Linked DNA regions of Pelodiscus sinensis. The main gene of each other region encodes a partner of the protein of the gene in region 2 in a complex. Links are inferred from orthologs where the notes say so. Each region holds a gene or a part of one and is shown on either strand. Other genes may lie near its edges.

What was found. The genes of interacting proteins can lie anywhere in the genome.
Region 1: TMEM216 (region 2) and TMEM107 share a complex: the UniProt entries of both Homo sapiens proteins name them as parts of the tectonic-like complex. The link is inferred for Pelodiscus sinensis from reciprocal best matches to the Homo sapiens genes TMEM216 and TMEM107.
Region 3: TMEM216 (region 2) and B9D1 share a complex: the UniProt entries of both Homo sapiens proteins name them as parts of the tectonic-like complex. The link is inferred for Pelodiscus sinensis from reciprocal best matches to the Homo sapiens genes TMEM216 and B9D1.

What each region holds. Positions count from the first base shown.
Region 1 is NC_134734.1:10,821,024-10,829,058, reverse strand, and holds the start of TMEM107 (transmembrane protein 107), read right to left. Parts: upstream 3,001-8,035; 5' UTR 2,876-3,000; intron 1,417-2,875; exon of another isoform or gene 1,413-1,416; 5' UTR 1,371-1,412; coding exon 1,284-1,370; intron 228-1,283; coding exon 160-227; intron 1-159. UniProt on the Homo sapiens protein: Plays a role in cilia formation and embryonic patterning. Requires for normal Sonic hedgehog (Shh) signaling in the neural tube and acts in combination with GLI2 and GLI3 to pattern ventral and intermediate neuronal cell types.
Region 2 is NC_134714.1:125,525,054-125,532,555, forward strand, and holds the start of TMEM216 (transmembrane protein 216), read left to right. Parts: upstream 1-4,447; 5' UTR 4,448-4,582; coding exon 4,583-4,595; intron 4,596-5,120; exon of another isoform or gene 5,121-5,228; coding exon 5,229-5,330; intron 5,331-6,113; coding exon 6,114-6,206; intron 6,207-6,571; exon of another isoform or gene 6,572-6,572; coding exon 6,573-6,774; exon of another isoform or gene 6,775-7,236; coding exon 7,237-7,252; 3' UTR 7,253-7,502. Other genes in the region: TMEM138 (transmembrane protein 138), read left to right, coding at 517-592, 920-1,032. UniProt on the Homo sapiens protein: Part of the tectonic-like complex which is required for tissue-specific ciliogenesis and may regulate ciliary membrane composition.
Region 3 is NC_134726.1:34,662,341-34,669,447, reverse strand, and holds the start of B9D1 (B9 domain-containing protein 1), read left to right. Parts: upstream 1-4,107; 5' UTR 4,108-4,202; coding exon 4,203-4,268; intron 4,269-7,107. UniProt on the Homo sapiens protein: Component of the tectonic-like complex, a complex localized at the transition zone of primary cilia and acting as a barrier that prevents diffusion of transmembrane proteins between the cilia and plasma membranes.

The sequences.
Region 1 (8,035 bases), on a different chromosome or scaffold from region 2:
CTTTGGGCCCATTCCTGCCATCCCAGCATATTCTCCCTCATGCCCTTCCTGGCCCATTTTCCTGTCCCCCCCTCCCAGGTGCCCCCCGATAGGCCCCAAGCCCTGCCAGGCCAGGCCAGTTGACCTCTGGCACACCCGGTCCCTGGCTGACTGACTCACTCCACGTCCTGGCGCTCATACTGCTGCTGGCTGTACTGCAGGGGCAGTGAGGCACGGACATTGTTGTCCTGGAAGATAGGAGGCAGTGAGGTCAGCCCTGCAGGGTGCAGCGTCCTGAGCATACAATTCAGCATGGGAGATGTAGGAAGAACACAGCAAATGCAAGGGAAAGCACACCAGTGGAGCAGACAAGAATCCAAGAGTCCTTAACCCACCAGCTCATATTCCCCTCCCAGAGCTGGAGAAAGAACCCAGGTGTCTCAGTTCCCAACCACCCTTAGCCTCTACCTCCTTGCCACAGCAAGGGCTGAACCCAGGAGTCCTGATCCAGCTTGTTGCTACCCACTTCCCTACAGCCACAACCCCTCCCTGGTTCCTGCGGCCCATGCACTGTATGCTCTTCTCACCTGTGGAAAGTGACTGTATGTGTGTGGGGGGGGGAGGGGGGGAGGAATGAGAAGAGGATGCTGGATGGGTGAGATGGGAGCCCTGCAAGGATGCATGTTGGAGGACTGTGTAAACTGGGAGAGGGGGTGCGTGTGTTGGGAAAGCTATAAATGTGTCGCAGATTTGTGCCTCATAGTGGCAGGCGGGTGTTGCCAGGACAGCATACAGCATGTCATACAGGTGTGCATGGTATGGATGGGTGTTGCACGGATGCGTATCACTGGGCCAGGCATGTTGCATGTTGTAGTCATAGGCGTGGTAAGGGTGGGTTTGTTGTATCTGTGTATGCTGTAGATATGGTTGTTGTTATGCGCGTTGTTGGGCTTCGCGTGCATTACAGGCATCATTCGTTAGTGTGGCATCAAAGTTGGCATGCTGTATGGGTGTACAGTACATCATAGGCATGGTTATCAGATGGATATGCACCTTCAGAATGGACATGTGATACAGCTGAACATGAGAAGGGTGGATATGCTTGGGGTGAGCGGGCAGTCATTCTATAAGGGTGCACACCACAAGCATCAGATCGGTGTGCGTTATTGGCGTGGACAGGCAGGCGTGCTGTGTTGGTGTACGTGGTGGATGTCACATAGGTGTGTATTGTCTGGGTGCACAGGTGGGTGTGCAGGGTGTATGTTGTGGGGATCACAGGGGGATGCGCAGTCAGGGTTTCTTACCCGGGACCAGAAGATGGTGATGACGATGACAAGATGAGCTGTGAGGGTCAGGAAGCGGGCAGGCACCAGCCCGCTGACCAGCGCCATATGGCCCGTGTCCCTCACGTGGTCAGGGTCCTCTGGGCAGGTCTGACTGGGGGGAGCAAAGGTGTCAGACTGGGGAGACCAAAGGAAGCACTAGGCCCCCCACCATATTTCTGAGGAGTTTCCCCATCATCTCCCCAGTAGAGCCCCATGTCCATCACTCCTCCACCACCCCAGCTCCTTTTCCATCTCCATCGCTGCCTCCCTGTGGCGCACCCCATTTCACCCCATCCTCACTGCGTGGTGACATCTCCCCTCCCTCATGAAGTCCCCCCCCAATACCTCCCATATCTATTGCCCTACCCCCCCATCATCATCTCTGCATCACCATCTGCACCCCCATCCCCTTGAGACCTCCTTCTCCATTGCCCCCTCCTGTGGAACCCCCCCCCCCGCACTCTTCCCCCCCATGGAACCTCCCCCCGCACTCTTCCCCCCATGGAAGCCCCCCCCCCGCACTCTTCCCCCCCATGGAACCCCTCCCCGCACTCTTCCCCCCATGGAACTCTCCTCCCCGCACTCTTCCCCCCCATGGAACACCCCCCCGCACTCTTCCCCCCATGGAACCCCCCCCCCCGCACTCTTCCCCCCATGGAACTCTCCTCCCCGCACTCTTCCCCCCCATGGAACCCCCCCCGCACTCTTCCCCCCCATGGAACCTCCCCCCGCACTCTTCCCCCCATGGAACCCCCCCCCGCACTCTTCCCCCCATGGAACTCTCCTCCCCGCACTCTTCCCCCCCATGGAACCCCCCCCGCACTCTTCCCCCCATGGAACTCTCCTCCCCGCACTCTTCCCCCCCATGGAACCCCCCCCCCGCACTCTTCCCCCCATGGAACCCCCCCCCGCACTCTTCCCCCCATGGAACTCTCCTCCCCGCACTCTTCCCCCCCATGGAACCCCCCCCGCACTCTTCCCCCCCATGGAACCCCCCCCCCCGCACTCTTCCCCCCATGGAACTCTCCTCCCCGCACTCTTCCCCCCCATGGAACCTCCCCCCGCACTCTTCCCCCCATGGAACCCCCCCCCGCACTCTTCCCCCCATGGAACTCTCCTCCCCGCACTCTTCCCCCCCATGGAACTCTCCTCCCCGCACTCTTCCCCCCATGGAACTCTCCTCCCCGCACTCTTCCCCCCCATGGAACCCCCCCCCGCACTCTTCCCCCCATGGAACCCCCCCCCCCGCACTCTTCCCCCCATGGAACTCTCCTCCCCGCACTCTTCCCCCCCATGGAACCCCCCCCCGCACTCTTCCCCCCATGGAACCCCCCCCCCGCACTCTTCCCCCCATGGAACCCTCCTCCCCCCGCACTCTTCCCCCCATGGAACTCTCCTCCCCCCGCACTCTTCCCCCCCATGGAACTCTCCTCCCCGCACTCTTCCCCCTCATGGAACCCCCCCCCGCACTCTTCCCCCCATGGAACTCTCCTCCCCGCACTCTTCCCCCCCATGGAACCCTCCGCCGTGGGACTCCCCCTCTCATAGAAAAGAACCCTCAGCGCTCCCACCCGCGGCCGTGATCCCGCTTAGGCCCCCACGTTGCCCGAGGCAACCGCCTCTACGTGCATCCCTTGGCCTCGCCCCATAGAGAGAGGCGCGCCTGCGCGCTGGGTGGAGATGTCGCGAGAACTTCCCGTCTGACGGCGAGGACGAGTCCTAAATCGCCATCTTGTTTGAGGTCAGGAAGAGGGCAGCGGCCCTATGAAGTTCCTCTGTGGGAGGAACCGTTTCCATGTAGGGGATGTAGCTCAGTGGTAGAGCGCATGCTTTGCATGTATGAGGCCCCGGGTTCAATCCCCGGCATCTCCAGTTTTTTTTTTTGTTATTTCAGCCTCTAGCTGGGGGTGTTACCCTGGGAAGCCCTTCCCTGCGGCAGGCTGAAAAATGGTTTCGGTAAAGAAAGGATCCAGGGACAGTGGGAACGATTTATACCCAGGTATCCTCCAATCAACATGCAACAAAACGGTTTATACCCAGGTATCTGTCAGTCAGCAAGGGGCAAAATGGTTTAACAGACTCCCAGGGCTGGAAGAGACCTCAGGGAGGCATCGAGTCCCGCCCCTGCCCACAGCAGCACCAACCCAAACTAAACCATCCCAGCCAGGGCTTTGTCAAGCTGGGACATAAACACCTCTAAGGATGGAGATTGCACCCCCTCCCTAGGGAAATAGTTTTTCCTAATGTCCAACCTGGACCTCTCCCACCACAACTTGAGACCATTGCTCCTTGTTCTGCCATCCCTCACTACTGAGAACAGCCTCTCTCCATCCTCTTTGGAACCTCCCTTCAGGAAGGTGACAGTTGCTATCAAATCCCCCCTCACTCTTCTCTTCTACAGACCAGTGGTTCCCAACCTGTGGTCTGCAGACCCCTAGGTGTCCATGCCAGTACTGTAGGGGATCTGTGGAAAGTTTAGGAAAAGAAAAGAACAGGCCCACCACAGGACTGGGACTTTCCACCAGGCCATTATTGCCCAGGGCTCACTGTTCATAAGCAGTCACGCACACTCTGCCTCCCGCCCTTGAGACTGGATTTTGATACCTCAGGAGGCACAATCTGTCCTCCAGCCACCAGCTACACTGCCATTTACACTCCAGCCCTCTCCCCACTCCCAGTCCCACTCCCACAGTGGGGCCCAATCCTCACTTTCTTTTCTTTTCCTTTTCTTTTTTTTCTCCCCCAGGGCTCCATGCCCTGCCACAGGAGGAATGCCAGGGCAGGAGCTGCTTTGGCCAGGAGATCCCTCTCTCCATATCCTCTGTGGATGGGCTCAAAAAGGTTGGGAACCACTGATGTAGACTAAATAAGCCCAAATTCCTAAGCCTCTCCTCATAAGTCATATGCTCCAGCCCCCTCATCATTTTTGTTGCCCTCTGCTGGACTCCCTCCAAGGCTGTGTCTAGACTGGCCAGTTTTTCCGGAAAATCAGCCGCTTTTCTGGAAAAACTTGCCAGCTGTCTACACTGGCCACTTGAATTTCCGCAAAAGTACTGACTTACTACTGTAAGAAATCAGTGCTTCTTGCGGAAATACTATGCTGCTCCCATTCAGGCAAAAGTCCTTTTGCGCAAAACTTTTGCGCAAAAGAGCCAGTGTAGACAGCTCAGATTTGTTTTCCGCAGAAAAGCCCCGTTCGCGAAAATGGCGATCGGGGCTTTTTTGCGGAAAAGCGCGTCTAGATTGGCACGGACACTTTTCCTCAAAAAGTGCTTTTGCGGAAAAGCGTCCGTGCCAATCTAGATGCTCTTTTCCTAAAATGCTTTTAACGGAAAACTTTTCCGTTAAAAGCATTTCCGGAAAATCATGTCAATCTAGCCACAGCCCAAGTATTTATATCCAAACATCTGGCAGTCAACAACAAGTTAAATCTTTTTTCCTGCCAATCAGCAAGGGGAAAATTATTTAAACCCATGCCGCCTTCAATCAGCATTGGACAAATTGACTTACACCCATGCTCCCTCCGATCAGCAAAGGTCAAGATAATTTCAAACCAGCTATCCTCCAATCAACATACAAAGCCACACATCAGCAATTGCTCCTCACTGACTGCATAAGAAGAATGATTGAGTCTTGAGATTACAGGCAGAGGGCGGAAATCTAAAAAAATATTTTTCATCTATTTATGCTTTTGTATAGTAAATATTAAGGAACAGAATCTCTCTACATTCCCACCCTATCTGTCTATGTACTCCCCCGCAATGCCCTTTGATTTACCTACTCCCCTTTCCTTCCCCCATGTTCTTGCTTAGAAAACAAGAACCCTGAACCACAGCACCTCATCACAACCACATAGAATAGACTCTCTGCAGCAGACTGCAGAGATTATGCTTTTTAGGTAGCTGTGATGGCTGATTGGTTAACGCACTGAATTTGAAATCCCCTGAGATCTCCCTTAGCAGGTTCAAATCCTGTTTGTAGTGATTGGTGCTTTTGCTGGGAGAGACGAGACATGGAGATCTTGCTGACGGAGGGTATGTCTACACTACAAAGTTAGTTCGAACTAACGGACGTTAGTTCGAACTAAATTTCATAGGCGCTACACTAGTGCTCCGTTAGTTTGAATTTAATTCGAACTAGCGGAGCGCATAGTTCGAACTAGGAAAACCTCATTTTACGAGGATTAAGCCTAGTTCGAACTAGCTAGTTCGAATTAAGGGGTATGTAGCCCCTTAATTCGAACTAGTGGGAGGCTAGCCCTCCCCAGCTTTTCCTGGTGGCCACTCTGGCCAACACCAGGGAAACTCGTCTGCCCCCCTCCCGGCCCTGGACCCCTTAAAGGGGTACGGGCTGGCTACGGTGCCCGTGCCAGGTGCAAGCCTGCCAGCACCCAGCCAGCAGACCCTGCACCTGGCATGGATCGAGCCATCCACCCGATGCCCCCCAGCCCTCCCCCTCTTCCCGGGACCAGGCTGGCGGCTCCCGGGAGCTTGCCCGGGACCGCAAGAGGGGAACACCCACCTGGGCTAGTGCAGACATCGTGGACCTCGTCCTCGATCTCCGCACTAGGCACAGGAAAGTGGCCAGCTAGGGCAGGAGAGCTGCCAGCCTGGCCACCCAGGAGCAGGTGTGCAAGAGAATCAAGGGGGTCCAGTGAGACCCCCGACCCTGAGCTTACAATGGCCGTACTGGGTCAGACCAAAGGTCCATCTAGCTCAGTAGCCTGTCTGCCGACAGCGGCCAACCCTAGGGACCCTGGAGGGGATGGACCGAAGACAGTGATCAAGCCATTTGTCTCGTGCCATCCCTCTCCAGCCTTCCACAAACCTTGGGCAGGGACACCACTCCTACCCCCTGGCTAATACCACTCCATGGACCCAGCCTCCATGACTTGATCTCACTTCCCATTAAACTCTGTTCTAGTTCTAGCCTTCACAGCCTCCTGCAGCAAGGAGTTCCACAGGTTGACTCTTTGCTTTGTGAAGAAGAACTTTCTGTTACTAGTTTGAAGCCTGCTGCCCATTCCTTTCCTTTGATGTCCTCTAGTCCTTCTTTATGGGAGCTAATGAAGAACTTTTCTGTATGCACCCTCTCCACCCCACTCATGCTTTTAGAGACTTCTATCCTGTCCCCCCTCCGTCTCCTCTTTTCTAAGCTGAAAAGTCCCAGTCTCTTTAGCCTCTCTTCATATGGGACCTGTTCCCAACCCCTGATCATTTTAGTTGCCCTCCCCTCTCCCAGCCTCTCTCTTCCCCTCTCCCACCTCCTTTTCCCAGTCTCCCCCTGTTTTGTTCAATAAAGACAGATTCCATTTTGGAAGACATGTTATCTTTATTTTGTACATCAAGAAAAGGGGCTAGGGAAGGGTAAGTGGAAGGAGGTGAGGGAGGACTGGGCTGGCTCTGCGGGCTTCTGGGGGTGGAAGCTCTCCTGCAGCCCCCCAATTGCCCCCTCTCCCCAGATGGCAGCCTGCGGCAAGTGCAGCCGGGCTGATGGCTGAGTGCTGTGATGTGCCCAGTGTGGGTAGTCCAGGCAATCCAAGCCAGGACTGCTTTGCAAGCGGGGCACCCCTGAGAACTGTCTGTCCGGGGTGGGGGTCGGGACCCTTTAAGCACAGCCCTCAGCTAGCCTGAGACAGCATCTCCACGCTCTAAGTTCTTCTCTGATGCCCTGCCGGCACTGCTTCCGGCCATCCTTAAGCCCGGTTCAGAGTCCACTAAATGTGGACATGCTAGTTTGAATTAGCAAAATGCTAATTCGAACTAGTTTTTTAGTCTGGATCCGTTAGTTCAAATTAGCTTAGTTCGAATTAACTAATTCGAACTAAGTTAGTTTGAATTAACGTTGTAGTGTAAAAAAACCCTAGGGGTATTTTCTGGGCAAAATTAAGGATGTTAAGTATTGTGTAAATGACTAATCGAATAGTTGATGCATTTTTGCATGGACTATTTGATTAGTCGATAGGGCGGCACTGCCGCTTTGAAGTACCCTCCCCCCTTCTCTCCTCCTCTGATAGAAGCAGCAAGAGAGGGAGCGACTAGTTGACGAATCCTTAACATCCCTAGATGAAATGCCAAGCAGGCATCTATGAGCTGGACAGGTGGGTGACACAGTAGGCTGCGTATGGGTCAATTCTGGGGCCGGGGGAGTGAACCCCAAGTCGCAGCGAGGAGCTGGTGATTGCATCCCCTGATGTTCAGAGGCACAGGCCTTGGGTGGTCAGCGTTCAGGAGTCACTCTCTGATTCTCCTTCCACCTAACAAACCCTCCCAGTTGTGGAGGAATCCTGCCGACAGGCCAGGATTTAGGTGCTCCAGAGATGAGGCCGACCTGGTTAGGATGGGTCTGTAGCTGCAGGCTGGAATTGATAACTGCAAGACTGAGCTGCATTGGCATCATCTGACCTGGAGCAAACTCTACCATCATGGCACAGAGAGCCATGTGCTGCCAGCCCCCTACCAGGGCTTGGGCACCGATCCTCCATGTGAATCAGGAGTCACTCTGCTGGTGTCAGAAGTACTAATTTCCCTCTCGCTTACTCCAGAGTGACTCTAGAGTCCCTCCAAGGTCATCAGAGACACTGATTCCCCTCTCACTCAGCACAGTCTTTGGGACAGCATGTGGGCTGGACGAGGAGGGGTATTGGCCCAAAAGCTGCCATGGCACAGGCATCCCTGATAATTCTCTTCCAACGTCCTCCCACCAAATAAACTCCACCCACTTGAGCCACC
Region 2 (7,502 bases):
CTTCCCCTTTCTGGCACTGCCCATGAGCCCTAACTGGGCAGCAGGATTTAAGAGGATTTTCTAGGATCTGTGTTGGGAGGCTCGACTAGGTCTTGGTGTTCTGTATAAATCCGCTGATCTGATTAACCTTTGTGTGCTCCCGGAGCTGCTCCCTGGCACTTGCATCCCTGCTTGTAGGGAGGTGGAAGGAGGCCTCTGTATGCCTGGGCCCCAGGGATGGGCTCAGAGGGGGGTTGTTCTTGGTGGGCAGGGTTGCTTTAGACTAGGAAGTGGACCACAGTGACAGTGCATTTCTCCCCCATGGCCACTAGGGGAAGCCCTCTAACCCTTTGGACATAGGGAGCTGCTTCCCATTAAGGATCTGGAGGAAATGACAGAATGGAGCAGCCCCTGGGAGAGAGGAGCAAGGAAGTGGGTAAAGGGACCCAGTGTGCTGAGCTCTGTGGGGGGCTGCACAGTTGCTCTCACATCTGTTTCCTGCCCTTAATGTCCGTTGTGCCCCTCTATCTCTTTCAGAACCTGCGCTGGAAAAACTCCACCCGCTTTGTGTGGACAGATGGGCTGCAGGCCCTCTTTGTGTTCCAGCGGCTGGGTAAGAGACAAGCTCCGCTCTGGACCCTTCAACTCCCCCAAGCAACCACCCACAGACACCTAGACTCAGGGAGAGCTACCAGAAAGCTGGCCCCATCTGCCTTCCCTGCTGTCTCCCAGGCTGGGATCTGGGGTTTGTTAAGGAATGGCATCTCTGTTCCCCTGAGCCGTACCAAACCCTTCCCATGGGGGCTGGATCTCGATGAGGCTCTGCCTGCCCTGGTGGTCAGCAAGACACACTGGGGTGATCCAGCAGACAGAGGAGGGGGTAGGGGTGAAGACATTCTGAACGGGTTGAGCTGTCTCATCTTCCTCTTGCTTTCCCCAGCGGCCGTGCTGTACTGCTACTTCTACAAGAGGACGGCCTTGCACCTGGGTGACCCCCGCTTCTACCAGGACTCCCTATGGCTGCGCAAGGAGTTTGCTCACATCCGCAGCTGATGGCTTCCCCTCGGACCCAGAGCCATGGCCGGTCCGTGGCTGCTCCCTGTTGGCTGGCACAAAGCCCCCTTTCCTCTTTATCCAGAACAGTCCACCCCCAGCCCTACACACAGCTTGCTTGCCGGCTGACCAATGGGGTCCTGTTGGTATCAACCCCTTTCAGCTCTGCTTTGCATATCTGGTGGGATGAGGTGCCAGGACTCAGCCTGCCCTAGCTGTACCTGTGGGAACTCTATCCTGGTGGTAGAACTTCCTTTTGTACCTGCGTATTTTTATAAGTTATGAGACAGTAAATTGGCTCCCTTTTCCAGAAACCTCCTTGTGTGTTTGCATTTTTTGGGTGCACCCTCCTTTCCCCAGGCCCTGTACTGTACTGAGGGCATATGCCCCACTATGCTCCCCCTCGCTCCAGCATTATTGTGTCCTAGCCCACATTGCAGCTAATTCTACTGGGGACAGGAGCCCAGTGGCCAGGACACCCTCCCTGCAGCTGCTGAGCTGCCTGTGGTGTTTAGTCATTCCCCAGTCATGGATCAGAGCCCTGCAGAGCTAGGCACTATAGTAACACAGAACAAAGATGGTCACCGCCCCAAAAGAGCTGACAATCTAAGCAGAAGACAATAAGATCATACCCTGTCACCCTGACTAGCAGTATGTGTGCCATCTGCACAGTAGGTGTTACTGCATGGGTTGATTTCCTCTGCCATTCTGCATCTGAAGGATGCAGAGCCTTAGTAAAGGCCAGGGCAGAGGTGTGGACTGGGAATGGCACTGTAACATACAGCCCATGTATCCCATGCTACTCAGTCTTGGAAGCATGGGTGGTGAGTTATATGGGTACATGGAGTCTGGGCACTAGGAATGTTCCTGGGTCTTGTCCCTGATCCCACCTGCCATCTCTGTGGACCTCCCCTGAAGCATTCCCCAGTCCAACCTGCAGCCCTTGGGCAATTTAAAACTGCCCCCCCATCACCACTACCAGTGGCAGTGCAGCAGGGCTACAGTGGCTTCTGGCCACTTGTTCCATGTGGCTGCTGGCACATGCGGCTCCACAGAGGGGAGGTGTCTCTGTACACTGCCCCCTTCCTGTGTGGTCCATGGGAAGCTGCCGGGATGGTACTGCCAGAGAGGAGTGCCCCTGGTAAGCACTGCACCCCAACCCCTCCCTCTGCACTCCTCCTTTGCCCCACCCCCTCCCCAGTCTTTTCTCCCACCGCCACTACTCCCTCCAACTCCCAGACTACTCCTTCCTGCATTCTCCCTTCCAGCCCAGAGCCTGTACGCAAGCACACAGACTCCTGCCCAAAGCCTGCAGCCCAGATACTCTTCCACACTCAGAGCACAACCCCTCACCTCCCTCCTAAAGCATGCATGTCCTGCACCTCATTCCCTTGCACCCAACACTCAAACTCCCTCCCAGAGCCTTAGGCTGGTGGGGAAGTGACTTTGGGCTGGGGAGGGGTGCGGGCATTGTGGACATCTGCAAAATTGCTGCCCTGCTTGGCAGGGCAAGAACATGGAGCACTTGCTAGCCTAACGAGCTCAGATTAGAAATAAGCTCAGGTTCCCTTTAGGTTGCCAATGCACTGTGTTTTCAGCACTGTTTTATTTCCAAGTTGCCTATTCCCGAGGAGAAAGGGCCTGGGTAGCAGAGGGAGTACAGCTCAGGAGTTAGAAATAAATATCATAATGAAGAACCATGTTATTTCCTTTCTCCAGACAGGCTGTGGGGCTGCACTGCATGGGGGGAAGTGGAGAGGACTGTTGGACGATGACCCCATTATGCTGCCTGGGGAGAAGGAAGGGGGGGTCACTGGCAATGTTCCCTCTTTTTTTTTTTTCATCCATATGCAGAATACATTTTGTTAAGTGTCTCCACCAGTAGAAACACATGTGCACCACCAGTAGAAACACATGCTGCTGACTGGGTGCTCTGCTAATTAGCTGGGTGGCACCTGATTTTCAGCTTACAGGGAACACTGGACTGGTGAGCAATGGGTATTACACCAATGGAGGAGTAGGGTTGGGATGCTGAAGGAGGGGGCAGGGACTCATCAGAAGCTGTGCCAGTGGTACTGTAGTCACCAGCCTTGCTGTTTGGCAATTGATGGGAAATCAGGGTTCATATGGGACAATGAAGGGAGTGTGTACCATGTAATGCCCCCAATATTAGCCATGAGCCCCCAGATCAGAGGAAGAGCCAATGGTAGTGTTAACTCTTTGATAGGCTCATAGAACTGGAAGGAACCTGGAAAGATCTAGTCCAACCCCCTGCACTCACAGAAGGACCAACCACCATCTAGAACAGGAGTGGGAACCTTTTTTGGGTCAGGGGCTGCAGACCCACAGAAAAATCAGTTGGGGGCTGCACACAAGTGAGAAGGAAAAAAAACCTAAGATGCAGAAAGACACTTCACTTTCCCCTGTGTCTTGGTGGCCAGATCCAAGCAAGCTGGGGGCTGCATCTGGTCCCTGGCCTTAGGTTCCCCACCCCTGATAGATGCCCTTCCAAACCGCTCTTAAATATCCCCAGTGATGAAGCTTCCACAACCTCCCTAGGCAACTTACTCCAGTGTTTAACCACCCTGACAGGAAGTTTTTCCAAATGTCCAACCTAAATCTCCCTTGCTGCAATTGAAGCCCATTGCTTCTTGTCCTATCCTCAGAGGCCAAGGAGAACAATTTTTCTCCCTTCTCCTGCTAACACCCTTTCAGGTACTTGAAAACTGCTACTGTAGCCCACCCAGCTAGGCTATGTCTACACTGGCAGGTTCTTGTGCAAGAATCTGCAGAGCATCCACACTGCCCACCCTCTCTTGTGCAAGAAGATTTACAGTACAGCGTAGTGAGAGAGGGCTTCTTGCGCAAGAGCTATGCTCTTTTTTAACAGGTGTAAGCCCTCTTGCGCAAGAGGGCAGTGTGGACGCTCGGCAGGGGTTTCTTGCACAAGAAAATGGCCACTGGAGCTTTCTTGCACAAGAGAGCATCCACACTGCCATGGGCGCTCTTGCGCAAAAGCACCGCTCGCACATGGCAGTGGGGATGTTTTCTTGAGCAAGACTTCTTGCACAAGAACCCTTGCACAAGATGTTCTTGTGCAAGAAGCTGCGAGTGTAGCCCTAGCCCTAGTGTGGTTCGCTGTCCCAGGTAGTGGCACTTGGACCACTGGCAGGGAGAGATGAGAACAAGGGAGCTCCACAGCCTCAGCTGGGTTTGCAGCTCAGGGCTCCAGGTCCAGGTCCCCATAGGGGGGGGGAGCTACATGCTCATGTTGGGGAGCACAGCGCCCCAGCTCCTGCAGCCAGAGGGCGGGGTAGGGCACGAGACACCCCCTCCCCCTTTAAACCAGCACTGGGGGCGGAGTCTTCGCTCGCCTCGGGCTGAGCTCGCGGCGCGGCGCCCGGCGGGTCCTCCAGCACCATAGAGCGGCGGGGCTGAGCCGGACGGAGCGGCGCAGGGCACCGGCCGCTCTGGCCCCCGCACTTCCGCTTCGCCGGCCCGCGTACCCGGAAGCGATGTCGCTGGGTGACAGTTTCCATGGCGATGGAAGATGGCGCTCAGAAGTAAGTGCCGGGCTGGGGGAGAGGAGCGGGGGCGGTTACGGATTCCTCCCCCCTCCCCCTCCCCCTCCCCCTTCCCTCAGGAGCCTTCACCGAGCGCGGGGGGGGGCGGCGCCACGTGACCCTCATTCATGTGGGAAAGGCACGTGACCTCCCCATCTCCCACCCTCGGGGCGGTCCGTCCCCCTCCCCCTCCGCTAGCTGGGGCGCCACGTGACCCCACGTCCCTGCTCTCCCTGGGGCTGCCACATGCCCCTCCTCCGGGGGGGGGGGCAGGGCGGTGTCACGTGAGCCCCATCGGAGGGGGGTGGCCTTTGACCTTTCCTGGGGGGGGAGGGGCGCATGTGTCCCAACCCCGGCACCATGGGGGGGGGCACCTGCCTCCCCTTGCCCCACCCCATGCACGGAGCCAGCGCAGGGGTCAGGCCAAGGAGTGGGAGGGCTCAGGGCAGGAGATGGGGGAGCTGGGGGCTGGGCTGCTCCAAGGGCACTGGGGCGACACTCACTCACTTTCACCTTTGGCGTTAGCGCAGTTCAGGGTCTTCTGGCTTCCTCTGCCCATTTTGGGAGAAGACTGAGGCCAGCAGACTTGTCTGGGGAGTGGCACCTTGCCCACTCATGCTGTTCATCCCCCAGGCCGTCAGCTCTCCTCCACCCCGCTGGAAATCCTGCTCTTCCTTAATGGGTGGTATTACGCCACTTACTTCCTCCTGGAGATCTTCATATTTGTCTATAAAGGTGAGTTCCCTCGGCTGCCATCTCAGATCACCAGGGCCATGGAACTGCCTTTAGCAGCAGGGGCTGCTGTCTGGGCTGTGGCATCAGGTATCCCAGGACAAGCCCAGGGGAGTGTCATTTGACTTAAACGCTTTGGCCAGCCCCACTCCCTCGCAGGGCTGCATCTGATGCAGGGTAGGGTTGTAATAGTACAGTAAATTAACCAATAAGCAAAAGCTTATAGGTTAATACTACAGACTACATGCATTTTCTGCCCCTTGCCAGTAAATGTTTTAGCAGGCTGGCCAGCAGCCTGGCTCAGTCCTGGCTTGCACTGGGTCCGGGACCTACCCCCTTCTGGCTCTGCATTTAAAACGTATTAGATGCCAGGCAGCCCGGCTCAGTTCTGTATCAGAGGCAGCAGTACAACGTGGCAGGCAGTTCCCACCTGGCAACCTATGCTGCTGCCTCTGATAGAGACACAGCAGCGTGTGGTAGCAGGGGGCTCCTCGGGAGTGGGGCCAGAGTGCACTGGCTGCCAGCCCCAGCCTGGAGACTATAGAATAGTTGACTAACCGATAGGAACTCATGAGGTTAATCGACTATTTGGTTAACAAATATTTAACAACCCTAGTACAAGGAGGTGTAAAAAGAAGTCATTAACATTTTACTGGGCAAGGACTGGGACCTTTAGATGAGCCTGTCTGTGTCCTTGCTGGACCTCTCTAGGGCTGTCCATGAGACTTGCGGGAAAGTTTGAGGGTCTTGTGCTCCTCCTGAAACAGGTGACTTTTGTGTCCTTAGGGCTGCTGTTACCATACCCCTCTGCCAACCTAGCCCTGGATCTGGTCATGCTCTTCCTCTATCTCGGCATTGAAGTCACCCGGATATTTTTTGGTGAGTGCCTAGGACTAATGGCCAGCTCTGGAACAGCAAGGCAAGTTGCCCAGGCTGGTACCCTGAGTTCAGTGGACTGCCAAGCAGTCAGTACAACTCCCTTTTGTTCACAACTTGGAGATGGATCAGTGCCTAGAACTGGAGAGCTCTTTGCCTGAGCCAGCCAGCCCCCTCGCCCAGACCAGATTGGAGCCAGATCCCTGGAAAGGAAATGCCCTTGTCCCATTCCCAGCCCCCTGCCTGGGGTTGAATTGGAGCCTGTTCCCTAAAGGGGAGAGGGCTGTGTAAACCATTCCCCAGCACTCTGCATGCATGGATGCCTGCAGGGTGGGGAGCGGTTGCCTCACACACTGTGCCATGTGGCAGGCTCCAAAGGGAACTTGTGCCAGCGGAAGGTGCCGCTCTCCATCAGCCTGGCCTTGACATTCCCGGCAGCGGTGATGGCAGCCTATTACCTGCTGCTGCAGACCTACGCCCTGCGGCTGGAGGCCATCCTCAACGCCATCCTGCTGCTCTTCTATGCCGTCGAACTGCTCCTGGGCATCCTCACCCTGGCCTCCTTCTCCAGGTACCCCTCCCCTGCTGCCTCCTGCCTTGGGAGGCAGTGGAAGATTGAGTGGCAGAGAGAGGGGCTGGAGTGCACAAACTGGCTGGGAGGGAGACTGGATCTCAGGGTGAAAACAAGCTCTGGGGCTGGAGCGGGCATAAATAGGGGATGGGCAAAGTGGGGAGAGAAAATGGTGCTGACACCCAAGACAGGCAGTTCCTGTATGTGCCTAGGGATCAGGACTTCTGGGTGCCATTCCCGATTGCCCCTGCTTGTTTCCTCACCTGCATGCCTCTCCTCTGATGGGCTGCCTCTCCCCAGGATGAGGACAGATTCTTGAGAGAGAGAAGCCAGTGGGGTGACAGGACTGCCCAGGGTTGTGAGGGAAGCTCCCCTTAGCCAGAGCCCAGTTCAGGGTGAGGTTGGAAGCTACCACAGGTTTGCTAGTGATGGCCAGGCTCATTGCTGTTTATCTCCCTCTAGGGTGGACTCGTACTGAGGCTTGTTCCAGGCCAGACAAGGCTACACATTGCCTGGGGCCGGAGGCCACACATTCGCTCCCTACATGGCTGGTCTGATGGCAGCCTCTCAGTCCTTTGGCGTTAGATCCAGCTGCAGCCTCATTCTGCATCAGCCCCGGCCAGGCAGAGAGCCACCGCCGGGGTGCCCAGCGGCTTGGAAAGAGACTTTAATTCACTTCCCAGACCTGGTACCATGTGAAGCAGCCATTCCTTGTGCCCAGGCACCAC
Region 3 (7,107 bases), on a different chromosome or scaffold from region 2:
TTTCACCAATATTTCCATCTTTAAAACTTTGTGAGTGCATTTGTGAATGTTTTATACAGGGCTGAACATGTCTTACTGTCACAGGTAGGGTTGCCAGATGGTTTCAACAAAAATACCGGACACACTTAACATTACATCACAATCTATGTTATCAAGGCTTGACAAATGGCGGTGAAATCTACTCGCCAGCCCCGCAATGTGCATGCGCAAGACCCGCATTGTGCAGGCACATGCTGCTAGTGAACGGGGTGACCGGCTGAAATCTACTTGTCACAGGTGAGTAGAAACAGCGATTTGTCAAGCCCTGTATATTACATCTTATTTAGAAAATACCGGACATTAATATTTTCTTATTTATATTTTCTCAATTTGCTTCCCGAACAGAAAGCTCAAATACTGGACTGTCCGGGTCAAAACCGGACACCTGGCAACCCTAGTCACACGGTCTTTCCTGAAGTGCCCAGCAGCAGAAAACGGTGTACAGATGAAGAATTTAGCCTCTTCCTCTCACCTGTGATTTTTGGAGAAGAGGGAAGGCCAGGAACATAAGAACTGTTATACAGCATCAGCTCCGCTGCAAACCTCACCCAGTATTCTGCCTGGAACCGTGCACCAGTGCTCAAAGCTTCAGAACAAAATGCAAGAAACCCTGCCATGGATGATTATGGAATAAATCTCTTCCTAGACCCATGGACATTGGCTGTCTACTACATTATTGGAATTTTCCCAAATAGCGGAAGGGGGATAGAAAACAACTGCAGTTTATGAGATATAAAAATCAAAGTGTGGGTCAGCTAGAGGTCAGTGATTTTAAAATCAGATCATGCCCCTCATACCCTTAGGTTTGCATTTCACACTTGCATGGGGAAACTCTGACATCTAGTGGCCTCTAAGGGTGTGTCTCGACTACAGGTTTTTTTTTTTTTTAAAGTAGCTTTTCGAAAAAACTTCATCTGCATCTAGACTGCAGCCGCATTCCTTCGAAAGTAAATCAAAAGAATGCGGTAGTTTTTTTTCAATTGCGGTAAACCGCAGTATATGAGGTATAACGCCTTTTTTTGAAGTATTTTTTCGAAAAAAGGCGCTATTGAATGCAAACTGTGCTTTTTCGAAAGAGAGCGTCTAGACTTTCTTTCGAAAAAGCGGCTCGCTTTTTTGAAAAATCTGCTTGTAGTCTAGACGCTCTCTTTCGAAAAAGGCTTGTAGTCTAGATGTAGCCTCAGGCTCATCACATGAGCATGGCTCTGCCAGCCCATCTGAGTGGACCCCCCGCCAGGTTTGCACAGTCCACGCTACCTGGACTTCACTGCTGTTGTTATTCAAGCTAGCTCGATCAAAGCTAGCTCAGGTATGTATGTGTACATAGACTGCAATCACACCTCTGATGGCAGCATCCATATATTCTACTCGGTGCTATGGAAATCATTTGGAGGAGGTCCCTGCTGATCGGAATTTTCCATGGCATAGAAGCACTGCACCAGAGTCAAAGATGAAGGACAGAGACTACAAAGTTCATGGAACACAAGGCCCGGACCATGTTAGAGTAGTTGGCATAGTGTAGTGTATGGATCCTGGGTGCAGAATCCCCCGATGCAGTTGTACAGCTCCCAGTGGGGCCTCTAAAAAAGAAAAAACTGACTCCATTTCACATTTTATCAAAACTGGTTGATAAATATAGGAAATATTGGGGGGGAAAGATTCTCTCTAAAAATAACAAGCAGTCCTGTGGCACCTAAGCCCTGGTCTACATGGGGAGTTATTTCAAAATTACTCCCCTTATTTTGAAATAATAAGCGGTGCATCCACACGACCAAACCCGTTATTTCGAAATAATAACTCCTGCTTTTCACGAGGAAAAACGCTTCTTTCAAAATAGTTATTTCAAAATAATGGTACTTTGGATGCTCCACTGCTGCTATTTTGAAATAATTACTCCCCAGAGTAATTTTTAAGTAATTACTCCCCTGTAGGGAATAATTCTGGACACGCTGGATGCAGGTGAAAACAAGATGAGGATTTATTGTACACCAGCACTGGTGGAGTACCAACCAGGGGTTAACCTGGAGAGCACTAGTTAATGAAAATATTACATTGAATTATCTAGGCAGCAGGTGGGCGGAGTAGAAGCAATGTCATAGGTCCTAGCGGCAAGACATAATGAGCACATAAGCCAATAAACTACAAAGGTTAGACAGTATCTCCGCCCACCACCAATTAAACGTCTTATCAATGATACAGATAGTTATTCCTAACAAGCTAAATAAGCCAACATAAACAAAAGACATGTTGATGGCAACTTTGTTTGCTGTAATTAAGATTGTAGAATGATTACTGCTTCACCTTGGTGTGGTCCTTGGGATCCAGGTTTATCATCTAGAATTAAAGGAGACAGTGAGAACGACTTCCGTGAAGTTTGTTTTGGTACCGGCCAGGGTCTTATTGGAGCGAGGTCCTCTTGGAATGTGGTTGCCAAGGAAACCAGGGTCATGTTAGCTGCTTGTTCTGTGTTTCCAGGCCTTGCCTCAAATTTAGGATTTGAATGAGAGATCTTAGCAAGGTACCATGGACTGCTTCAGTTTACCCCTACATCCCCAGTGCTTCCTGGGGCTCCAAGTTGAGGTAGCACATCCACACAGAGGGAGCCTACCTTGGACTAATTTCAAGACTTCCCTGTAGGGTGGACACACTATTTCAAAATAAGTTATTTTGAAATAATTTCCTAGTGTAGCCATTTCAAGTAACACCCACTTCATTAGATGAGCTTGACTGGAGCATCTAAAGAAGTGGGTTTTACCCACAAAAGCTCATGATATTATATATTTATTAGTCTGTAAGGTGTCACAGGACTACTTGTTGTTTTTAAAGTTACAGACTAACACAGCTACCTCTCTGAGCCAAATATGACACGGCTACCTCTCTGTCAGATGTGACAAAAATATACACATCTGGCTACGCAAATACTCTTACTCTGTCCTTACCCTTCACTAATTGCTCATTATTGACAGGCGGGAAAAATTAAAAAACAATAACTGCCCTTGTACAATTAGTATTTTTACGAGTACGTTTGTTATCAGTCTCCTAAGGCAACTTTTCTGACTGTGCTTTCATAACTTATTTAAATAATTTCACTACCAAGAAAATTGGGGAAAATGTGAGGTCGGAGACAGGAGCATCATTAATCCTGCTACGGTCACACTTATATGGTACTCATCCTAGGAGTGATGTCATGTGTGGCATCTCTCGTGACTGGTAACAGCAGGAAGGCCACCATCTTTTGTTCACAGTCCAGCATGCTCAGTCATTGCTTCTGTTTGTCTTTGTTTCTGTAAGTGTGTGTGGGTTCTTTCTTCCTATGCTCTGTACATGTGTACAATGGTGTATTTTAGGGCGCATGCTGCTTTTTGGTTCATGCTTCACGTGATTGACTTTGAAAGTCACTGTCTCATGAATCTGGGTCAAATGGAAGGATACGTTTGTGTAATGGTGAAAACAGAAATTGTTTAAAAATAGAAGAAAATGCTTAAAAAGGAACATTAATCTTATGAAATAAACGAACGCAAATTCTGCCACGTCAGCTTGTAGCGTAGGGCTCACACTGGTGCCCTTTCCGTGCATTTGCAGTGGTGGTGTAGCCAGGGTGGAGACAGGATGTGAGAGACGGCACCCCACTTTCCCTGGGGAGGGCTCCCTCTCCTTTGGGGGCTGCCCCCCACTTCCCCTGGGGGGGCTCCCTCTCCTTTGGGGGCTGCACCCCATTTCCCCTGGGGGGGCTCCCTCTCCTTTGGGGGCTGCCCCCCACTTCCCCTGGGGGGGCTCCCTCTCCTTTGGGGGCTGCACCCCACTTCCCCTGGGGGGGGCTCCCTCTCCTTTGGGGGCTGCCCCCCACTTCCCCTGGGGGGGTTCCCTCTCCTTTGGGGGCTGCCCCCCACTTCCCCTGGGGGGGGCTCCCTCTCCTTTGGGGGCTGCCCCCCACTTCCCCTGGGGGGGCTCCCTCTCCTTGGGGGAGCTACTGAGCTGGGGGAGTCCCCTTCCCCTTCCTGGGGTGACGTGTCGGGGTTTTACCCCCGAGATTCCGCCCCGCCCCGCCCCGCCCCCCGCGCTGCGCTGGCAGGAAGTTTGTCCCGGCCGCCTCGCCGTCCGGTATCCAAGGCGGGCCGGGGAGAGCGGCCCCTAGCAACGGGCCGGGATCGGCCTCCGGCGCCATGGCAGCCGCCGGCGGCCCCACGGTCTTCCTGCTCATGGTGACCGGGCAGATCGAGAGCGCCCAGGTGAGCGAGTCCCCCCCGCCCCGCCCCGCCCCGGCTGGCGCCTGGGGGCCACGGTGAGGGGCGCGCTGGAGCAGCCTCGCTCCGGGCTCTCCAGCATGGATGGGGGAGCGTGGCCCTGTGCCCCCCCCGCACAGCCCCCCCCGGCTGAGAGCTCAGCCCCCCCCGCACAGCCCCCCCCCGGCTGAGAGCTCAGCCCCCCCCCCCGCACAGCCCCCCCCGGCTGAGAGCTCAGCCCCCCCCCGCACAGCCCCCCCCGGGCTGAGAGCTCAGCCCCCCCCCCCCGCACAGCCCCCCCCCCGGCTGAGAGCTCAGCCCCCCCCCCGCACAGCCCCCCCCCCCGGGCTGAGAGCTCAGCCCCCCCCCACCGCACCAGCCCCCCCCGGCTGAGAGCTCAGCCCCCCCCCCCGCACAGCCCCCCCCCGGCTGAGAGCTCAGCCCCCCCCCCCGCACAACCCCCCCCGGCTGAGAGCTCAGCCCCCCCCCGCACAGCCCCCCCCCCGGCTGAGAGCTCAGCCCCCCCCCCGCACAGCCCCCCCCCGGCTGAGAGCTCAGCCCCCCCCCCCGCACAGCCCCCCCCCCGGCTGAGAGCTCAGCCCCCCCCCCCGCACAGCCCCCCCCGGCTGAGAGCTCAGCGCCCCCCCGCACAGCCCCCCCCGGCTGAGAGCTCAGCGCCCCCCCCGCACAGCCCCCCCCCGGCTGAGAGCTCAGCGCCCCCCCGCACAGCCCCCCCCCCGGCTGAGAGCTCAGCCCCCCCCCGCACAGCCCCCCCCCCGGCTGAGAGCTCAGCCCCCCCCCCGCACAGCACCCCCCCGGCTGAGAGCTCAGCCCCCCCCCCCGCACAGCCCCCCCCCCGGCTGAGAGCTCAGCCCCCCCCCCGCACAGCACCCCCCCCCGGCTGAGAGCTCAGCCCCCCCCCCGACAGCCCCCCCCCCCGGCTGAGAGCTCAGCCCCCCCCCCCCGCACAGCCCCCCCCGGCTGAGAGCTCAGCCCCCCCCCCAGCACAGCCCCCCCCCGGCTGAGAGCTCAGCCCCCCCCCCCCGCACAGCCCCCCCCCCGGCTGAGAGCTCAGCCCCCCCCCCGCACAGCCCCCCCCCCGGCTGAGAGCTCAGCCCCCCCCCCCGCACAGCCCCCCCCCCGGCTGAGAGCTCAGCGCCCCCCCCCGCACAGCCCCCCCCCCCGGCTGAGAGCTCAGCGCCCCCCCGCACAGCCCCCCCCCGGCTGAGAGCTCAGCGCCCCCCCGCACAGCCCCCCCCGGCTGAGAGCTCAGCGCCCCCCCGCACAGCCCCCCCCCCGGCTGAGAGCTCAGCCCCCCCCCGCACAGCCCCCCCCCCGGCTGAGAGCTCAGCCCCCCCCCGCACAGCACCCCCCCGGCTGAGAGCTCAGCCCCCCCCCCCGCACAGCACCCCCCCCCGGCTGAGAGCTCAGCCCCCCCCCCGCACAGCCCCCCCCGGCTGAGAGCTCAGCCCCAGCCCTCCGCACAGCCCCCCCCGGCTGAGAGCACAGCCCCCCCCGGCTGAGAGCTCAGCCCCCCCCCCCGCACAGCCCCCCCGGCTGAGAGCTCAGCCCCCCCCCGCACAACCCCCCCCGGCTGAGAGCTCAGCCCCCCCCCGCACAGCCCCCCCCCCGGCTGAGAGCTCAGCCCCCCCCCCGCACAGCCCCCCCCGGCTGAGAGCTCAGCCCCCCCCCCGCACAGCCCCCCCCCGGCTGAGAGCTCAGCCCCCCCCCCGCACAGCCCCCCCCCCGGCTGAGAGCTCAGCCCCCCCCCGCACAGCCCCCCCCCCCGGCTGAGAGCTCAGCCCCCCCCCCCGCACAGCCCCCCCCCCGGCTGAGAGCTCAGCGCCCCCCCGCACAGCCCCCCCCCGGCTGAGAGCTCAGCGCCCCCCCGCACAGCCCCCCCCCCGGCTGAGAGCTCAGCGCCCCCCCCGCACAGCCCCCCCCGGCTGAGAGCTCAGCGCCCCCCCGCACAGCCCCCCCCCCCCGGCTGAGAGCTCAGCCCCCCCCCGCACAGCACCCCCCCGGCTGAGAGCTCAGCCCCCCCCCCGCACAGCCCCCCCCCCGGCTGAGAGCTCAGCCCCCCCCCGCACAGCACCCCCCCCCGGCTGAGAGCTCAGCCCCCCCCCCGCACAGCCCCCCCCGGCTGAGAGCTCAGCCCCAGCCCTCCGCACAGCCCCCCCCGGCTGAGAGCACAGCCCCCCCCGGCTGAGAGCTCAGCGCCCCCCCGCACAGCCCCCCCCCCGGCTGAGAGCTCAGCCCCCCCCCGCACAGCCCCCCTCCCGGCTGAGATCTCAGCCCCCCCCGCACAGCCCCCCTCCCGGCTGAGAGCTCAGCGCCCCCCGCACAGCCCCCCCCCGGCTGAGAGCTCAGCGCCCCCCCGCACAGCCCCCCCCGGCTGAGAGCTCAGCCCCCCCCCGCACAGCCCCCCCCCGGCTGAGAGCTCAGCCCCCCCCCGCACAGCCCCCCCCCGGCTGAGAGCTCAGCCCCCCCCCGCACAGCCCCCCCTCCCGGCTGAGAGCTCAGCGCCCCCCCCGCACAGCCCCCCCCCCGGCTGAGAGCTCAGCCCCCCCCCGCACAGCCCCCCCCGGCTGAGAGCTCAGCCCCCCCCCCGCACAGCCCCCCCCCCGGCTGAGAGCTCAGCCCCAGCCCCCCGCACAGCCCCCCCCCGGCTGAGAGCTCAGCCCCCCCCCGCACAGCCCCCCCCCGGCTGAGAGCTCAGCCCCCCCCCGCACAGCCCCCCCCCCCCGGCTGAGAGCTCAGCGCCCCCCCCGCACAGCCCCCCCCCCCCGGCTGAGAGCTCAGCCCCCCCCCCGCACAGCTCCCCCCGGCTGAGAGCTCAGCCTCA